Linked DNA regions of Arabidopsis thaliana. The protein of the gene in region 2 interacts with the protein of the main gene of each other region in a pairwise test. Each region holds a gene or a part of one and is shown on either strand. Other genes may lie near its edges.

Evidence for each region. Proteins that work in one complex are often made in the same cells at the same time.
Region 1: the proteins of AT3G07310 (region 2) and NADP-ME4 interact in a two-hybrid assay, tested with the Arabidopsis thaliana proteins (one large-scale study listed by BioGRID).

The regions. Positions count from the first base shown.
Region 1 is NC_003070.9:30,009,963-30,013,716, forward strand, and holds the start of NADP-ME4 (NADP-malic enzyme 4), read right to left. Parts: upstream 1,729-3,754; 5' UTR 1,218-1,728; coding exon 1,188-1,217; intron 1,100-1,187; coding exon 692-1,099; intron 594-691; coding exon 519-593; intron 426-518; coding exon 274-425; intron 189-273; coding exon 83-188; intron 1-82. Other genes in the region: DTA4 (downstream target of AGL15-4), read left to right, coding at 2,032-2,483, 2,573-3,080. UniProt on the Arabidopsis thaliana protein: The chloroplastic ME isoform decarboxylates malate shuttled from neighboring mesophyll cells. The CO(2) released is then refixed by ribulose-bisphosphate carboxylase. This pathway eliminates the photorespiratory loss of CO(2) that occurs in most plants.
Region 2 is NC_003074.8:2,328,271-2,332,024, forward strand, and holds the start of AT3G07310 (phosphoserine aminotransferase, putative (DUF760)), read right to left. Parts: upstream 1,657-3,754; 5' UTR 1,408-1,656; coding exon 1,052-1,407; exon of another isoform or gene 822-1,051; coding exon of another isoform or gene 778-821; intron 538-777; coding exon 1-537.

The DNA.
Region 1 (3,754 bases), on a different chromosome or scaffold from region 2:
TGGCATGTAATGTGCAAATTAGTAAGAGGATAAACCCTGACTCACCACTCTCATGAAAGCAGAAAAGAATCAAACAACTTGCCTGACATCCAAGATCTCCTAACCCTAAAATGCGCTCCCCATCAGTGACAACAATGACCTGGATGTTCTTCTCAGGCCAGTTCCTCAGCACTTCATGAATCTTACCTCTATTATTGAAAATTGTATCCTCACTTAAAAGATGAGAACAAGAATAGTGAAAGTGGTAGTTGATTTCCGTATAAAAAGGCTCACTTTTCTTTCAAGCTGATAAAAAGCCCCTGTGGACGCAGGAAAATGCTACCATACTTCTGGCAGGCTTCCCCAACCGTTGGAGTGTAGATAACGGGTAGCAACTCCTCGACGTGATCAATGAGAAGTTTGTAAAACAGCCTCTCGTTGGTCTCCTGAAATACAAAAGCATTGTGAAAGAAGTTGGGTAACAAAGGAAGGCACTTGGTGTAGTTGAGATAGCGAGACTTCCTAATGAGTTAGTTTACCTGGAGATCCATCATAGCCATATACTTCTGCAAGGGAACTTGATACTGACGAAGAGTGTGCATAATTTTTTTAACCTGTAGACAAAGCGTGCAGTAAAAGGATCAAAAGTCCAAATCTCCAGTTGCATATATATATATAGAAAGGGTAAGTGAAACCTGACAAGACGGGAAACCTGAAGATCTTGTGAGATAACAGTGGGGGGGAGGAGGCCGCGTAGATAGTGAGCGTCACGCTCTCTGTGGCTAAAGGCAAGGCCTTTGTTGTGATGTGGATCACGCAACAACGTATACCCACTGGCGACAGAGAGAGACCAAGGAGTGATAGGCATGTCCTCGGTGGCGGCATCCTCGCCGTAGACATCCTGAACTCCACCAGATACGGTGGATTTGGGAACAATGTCGGCGGCGGAGGTCTCGAGAGAGGAGGATGAAGTGGCAGTGGTCTCAATCAAAACGCTGCCGGTGGGATCCTGGTTAGATCCGAGAGAGGAAAAGACTCTCAAGGAAGCAGGAGGAGTAATTATAGTTCTAGGCTGGCGCAGAGAGAGGCGTGTGGAACATCCAGGAACAACCGTCTTGTTCTGAGAAACCAAAGCAATGAGACTTTTTCGTATATAAAAAAAGATGAGACATGGACGATGGATGGAGAAGGAATGATGTAAATAATACCAGAAACAACGAGGGAGTGAGAGAGATCATGGCGTCTGGGGATGCCTTGTCTCTTAGACGGAGGAGGAGAAGGGAGGAGACGGAGAGAGTCTTCTTCTTCAGAGCGGCCGTGGTCGTGGATTTCAGCGCGGCCGTGGTCGTGGATTTCAGCGCGGCCGTGATCGTCTCTCGCTCACTTTCTCTCTTCCTATCTCCCTCACACGCTCTAAATCTGCTGGGAGAGAGTCTTCTTCTTCAGAACCTCCATTGTTGACGTGTCTTCTTCCTTTTCTATCTCTTCCCAAATTGCGTCTCCACTCCTTGGCTTCTCCCTTTATTTACCAATTTGCCATTGCTCACCGGTCCCTGTATTGGTACGCTTTTGTCAATTTTAGCCCACAAAATCTAAATTATAACTTTTCGTTGACTCTGACCTCTCTCTCTTATTTCTTTTCAATTGAAAATTGTGACTCAAACTAGCAAAAGGACAGACAATTTCAAGCGAAAATGCAACTACCATCAATGTACTGGTACTAAGTAGATTTAGTTGGTTTGGAATTGGTATGAGAGAGATTCACCACTTGCCCTCTCTACTTGACATTTATTTTTTTATTTATGTGACAGAAAAGGACTCTTCCAACTTGGACTTGTGTCACACTCGATGCCCATCCTGTGAGGATCCACGTCAATTGGGTAAACAAAAGGCCGCTTAAGGCCCAACTTGGGTCCATCCATAATATGATGAATAGTGTCATCCTCTCTGGTTTTTGGAAAAGGAAAAGTTGCAATGAATAAAAGCAAACAAGAGAATTGCATCTCATCATTATGCTCTCGCTTTATTTAACAAAAACTTTTTCTTTGGCCAATGATCGATCCTTGCTCTACATATATACAAGTATTATCACGAGTAAGACCCCAAACAAAAATGGGAGTTTCCTCTCCCGACTTCCGAGCCCCTCCTCCGTCCCCGGTAGCATCCAGCCGCCGTGCCTCCTTCACGGCCAACGAAGACGTCCTCTCGGAGTTCCTGGACAAGTGTGGTCGAGTCCCAAATCTTGTATTGCCCGATAAAGTCTTCCCCAAGCACACATTCCTTCTCAACCCTCCCACCTTCGATTTCCACCGGTTGGACTCCCTCTCGGCTCTGCTTGATGCCATCGCCACCATCGGTTGTTTTCAGCTCGTTAACCACGGTGTTCCAGAGGCTATGGTGAAAGCCGCCATGGACAAAACCATTTTCCACGATGAGACGGAGGAGTTCGTGTTTAATAAAGATATTAATGCTGATGATCACACGGCTTGTTATTCAGATTTGAGGTAAGGCAGCAAAATTTACTATATATAGTAATTGATTAGGAATATATATTGTTTAAAATAAAGTAGTAAGTAATGATTTGAAGATGCAGGGAGTTGATGGGTGAGGCAGAGAGGATAGGGAAGGCGGTGAGAGAAAAGCTAGGAGCAGGAGGAAGAAGCCAAAAGGAAGGGGTAGGGGTTTGCTACGTGAAGAGGCATAATATTAAAAACGAATCAAAGGAAGAAGCCATAAGGATGCTGCTAAGAGGCTATGACGAAAGACATTCTCTATGTCTCAACTTCTGCCATGCAGAGTTCCACGTCTACTCCAAAAGAGGTTGGGTCTCCTTCTCCCCACGTCCCGATGCGGTGATCGTCACAATCGGAGATCAAGGCTGGAGCGGAAGATTCAAGGGCGTTGTGGGGAGGCCCCTTCTTTACAAATCAGATCTTCATCACAATCTGATTTCCATATCCTTTCTCTACACTAGTACTACCACTCTCCACAACACAAGCAGAAAAATTACCAAAAGGACGAAGAAGAAGACCATTTCCCTCTTCCAACAGCTCCTCTTTGCTCTCTTTCTCACACTCCTCTTCCCTTTTTTACTTCCTTGATCATTACATACTTGTTGCCTTGTTGCTCCTTTTTTCCTTTTTTTCTTTGGAAACTAAAATACAAGTGGGTAATGTGTATCTCAATCTTGTTTAATTTTAGCCTTTTTCCCAAGCAATGCATGGCCCAATCATTCAGTTTAAAATCCCGCTATATCCAAATAACGATATTTGACCCCTCACCCATTCGGTTATCAATCTCATGCCCAATCCACTTGACACTGCGCAAGAATCACATAGATATATACTCTGAACTCTGAAGTAATTCTTACATAACCCGAGATTAATTAGGTGGTGCAAGAGCACATATCCACCTTCGAGTATTTCACTGCAAGAAACGTAACGTGTATATATATGCACAGATTTGATGTATAGTAATGCTATGCATCGTTTTCACACTACGTATGTAATGTAAGTGTAACTATAATGCAATATAGACAACAAGATATATAGAGTTATGTTGAATCAGCTACATATAATAGACAAGAAATGTATGCATGCACGTGAGCGTCCTCCCACTTTCCAAGTTATCGCAAAAGTGAGTTTAAAACAACCAATATATATTTTTTCTTCTTCTTCTTTTTGTTGGGATTGATAATATTTACAAGTTTCAACTTTTAACTTCATTACGAGTGGTCTTCCTCGAGTCCATGTTGTTCCTCTCTTATATGTGTGGT
Region 2 (3,754 bases):
GCCTCCTCTGTCCTTGGTTTTGCGCATCTCTGCAATGTCTCGGGATCAAAGTCTGAGATGTAATGTCTCAGCTGCTGCTTGTTGGAGATCTGTGCAGTGCCCGTTGTGAATGAGCATCCAAAGATGGGACTTTTCAGATATCCGCTTCCATGAATATCTGATAAGGAACACTCAAGCTGGTGCCTTAGGGAAGCTGATTTCAAGAAGTAACCGTACAAGATCGAGGCAGCATATACTTTCCTGAGATGCAGTTTCTGTATCTGCGTTGTTGCCCAATTGTCAGTCACACATGAGTTGACCCGTAATCCGATGACTGCGCTAACGTGTTCTTTGATGATCTCAAGGGTATCGCAGCTGTAAATTGACTCTAACTCCCAGTCTTTTGAAGGCCAGATCTCGAGTCTTCCATTATAGATGCATCTGGATAGCTTTGGAACAAGAGGGACTCTTATCTCGGAGTATTTGTAAAAGATTAACATGTACATTATGTCTTGGACTGCAGTTTTACAGTAGCGTTCCTTGAGTTCAGCTATCCTTCTGCCAACCATGGAATCAGAGTGTTAGTGTTCGTAAAAGAGCAGAAGATAGTTGAGAAAATGTTCACAAACAGAGCATAAAATGGCCTGAGCAAGTCAGAGAGTTTAACACAGGCAAGAAACTAAAATATACGGAAACTATTTAACGAACTAAGCAACAATGAAATGTAAAAAAGCAAAACCAGCCCTTATCAAACACTAAAACAAAACTTGCTTCACAAGGCAGAGTATGAGAAAGCACCTGAAGATCATAACTACAGAATTCTCTTGTTTCAATTCAACCATATCATTAGTGTGATTCTCAAATCATCATAAACTGATAAACACCATCAAACAACTTATAATCAAACTTTACAAGCTTATGTGATAAATACTAATAAAATACTGATTTGTGGTCGATTAAATAAGAGTATGTAAGTAATGATTTACACATATTTCTTTGTATGTTTATAATTCTACAGCTGTTTACGGATCTTTGAATTGTGAGAGATTAGATAAGGAAAGGTTTCACGGACCTGTGGAGAGAAGCCTCATCGGAACCAGAGCTGAGAGACATACGAGCTAAAGCAGCTTCCCTATCATCAGCCAGTTGCTTTAGCTCATCAGCGGCGGCGTAATGAAATAGCTGCCGTTTGTTTAGCAACACGCTTCTCAGAAACCTCCCCTGCGCCGATCGTGGCTCAAGCGGCGCGTTTAGACTGCTTCCAGGCTCACACCGACTCTGTCCCGCCGCCGCAACCACAACCATCGAACTATACTGGATCTTCCTCTTCGCCGGAATAACAAAACCACCGCCTCCATCGCCGCTCTGTCTCCTGGAACGCGACGGGAGAAACTGAAGCGCCGTTTGATTAGAGAGACAACTATCCATTGATCAGATTTGAGCAATAAAAAAAACCTAGAAACAGTGGAAAAACCCTAAAAGGATCTGTGATTTGAGAGAATTTCGGGAATTGTGAATGAGAGAGAGATGAAGAAGAATGATTTAGCGGATTAGTGGGAGAAGTGGCGAAGAATGGATAAGGTTGAAGAGAGTATCTTTTTGTTACTATATTATTCCGTTTCTATTTTTACATAAAAATATATTTGCTTCTGTTTTTTCCAATGGGCTCCTCAATTCGGTGTGTGGTTATTGTTTAACTCCAACTTGACAAGTGCATATATGTCATTGGCTATTATGTAAATCTTATTTTCGTTGAAATCATTTCTCATTCACATTTTCTTTAGCTTTGAGCCACCTGGAAATTTCAAAAATCCTAGATTCAAACGGACTCGGCTAAAGTCTAATTTTACAGGATTAGTAAAACATAAAACTTGGAAGTTTAGTAAACCACAATTAATAGTATAAGAGAATTTGATGAATAATTGTTTCAAAGTAGTATAGTTTACGTAAATTAGTTTAGTCGTATGATTTTCATATTCATTATAGTTAGGTGGTTGATGTTCACAGATATTTGTATATTTTATACACATGGGTTATAGTTTATGTATGGTACACACAGTCTAGCTAGATTGATGAATCATGATACCTTATCTCAATTATTGGCAATTTTATAAACAAATATAAGATGACCCATCGTGTTCTCTGCCTCAGGCTCTGAGTGTTAAAGGATTGGACCGATTGGTGGTCCTCTAAAGCCATCTTAGCTTATTTGTAAAAAACACCCCTACTTTTCGTCAATCATGCATCGGCTAACAATTTGATTATTTATTTCCTTCCCTTGACAAAAGAGTTGCAAATTTGAACCCTTATTACTCCTGAACAAGGGTTCATTGTGTGTTGATTGGTATATTTATTAGGTTTAGTGTAACACTAGTCTATCAAACTACAATGATACTTGAAATGTAGTTGTCATCGCTTGGATCTAAATTAGAAGTTCAAATTTGTATTTTAGACAGAAGTTGATACTAATTACAAATTTCATCGGCAGTATTTTGGATTGATGTGTGGTAAAAAAAAAAGTTAGAATGAAAAAGCAGATTCAAGATTTAACTACTTTGGTTATAATCAACTTCTGGCCGTAACAAATACATATATAGTTTCCGGCTATCAAATAATTTATGTTTGTTTTGTTATTTTACAATTGCTTTAAAAAATGTTTTCCTGCTTTTGAAACATATACAAAGTACAACCGCGGAGCGGGTAAGCCATGAGCCCATGACTCGTGCGAGGTTTTGACTTTGGATGACTTCTGAATCGTGGTATTGAATACTTTAATTATTAGGATAAGTGGAAGCTCCTATCATAGCGGCGTGTACATTGTTTGCTATCACTTGGGTGGTCCACAGCCTAATCTAGAGTTTTAACCCATCGTTCTAAAAGATTTCAAATGTGAATAGATGAGACAATGGCATAGATGTAAGTCTAAGTGTATGTTCGATATAGTTGTTAAATATAGTTGTTAAACTAAACTCTTTTTTTAAAAATATATATATATTTTGATAAATCTCCATGGTGATATAACAATGGTACAAACACAAGTTAAACCACTAATTTACGTGTCATAGTCTAGTTATTACTATGTTTTTTTCATAAATGTGTTTTTACTTTTTTAGTAGATGTAATTAAAGCTAATTAGCAGAAGAAAAAAAGGGAAGCAAAAGCGAACATATATATGAGGGCACTATGGAGCACAACACATGTCGCCATATATATATACCAGATATTGAATGAAATGATACAATAGAGAGTAGAAGGTGTACGAACGCATGGTTAAAATGAAAATTTCGACATTTGAAAACATGGTCAAAACGATCAAATAAATAACAATCTCATCACTAATTACATCCAAAGTTGTACTTGGTAACAAGAAAGAAGAGCAATCAATCAACCAAGAGAGAATTGTGTAACAAGTTTTTACCGCTTATGAAGTTGAAATGGAGTTGTGAATGTATTGACCACATACGAATCCTTTATACATGCAGAAGAGTAAAGTAGAGACAACTTCATGGTTTGTACTTTTTAGCTGCAAAAGGTCAAACATTTTCTTTGCAAAGTGAGAAAGAAAGCTATGACGACATCCTATTCTCACGAGTCACGATGCAGAGAAGAGAATCATGGCATCCGATTCTCAATAGTTACATGTGCTTTTTCAAAAGTAAGATCAATTTTGCAAACGTTTCTTTTTGTTAACAAAAGAAGATCATATATTTTTGTTCCTCTAATAATTTTAGCAATAAAAACAAGGAAACAGTCTGAAACTTGCAAACTTTTTCCC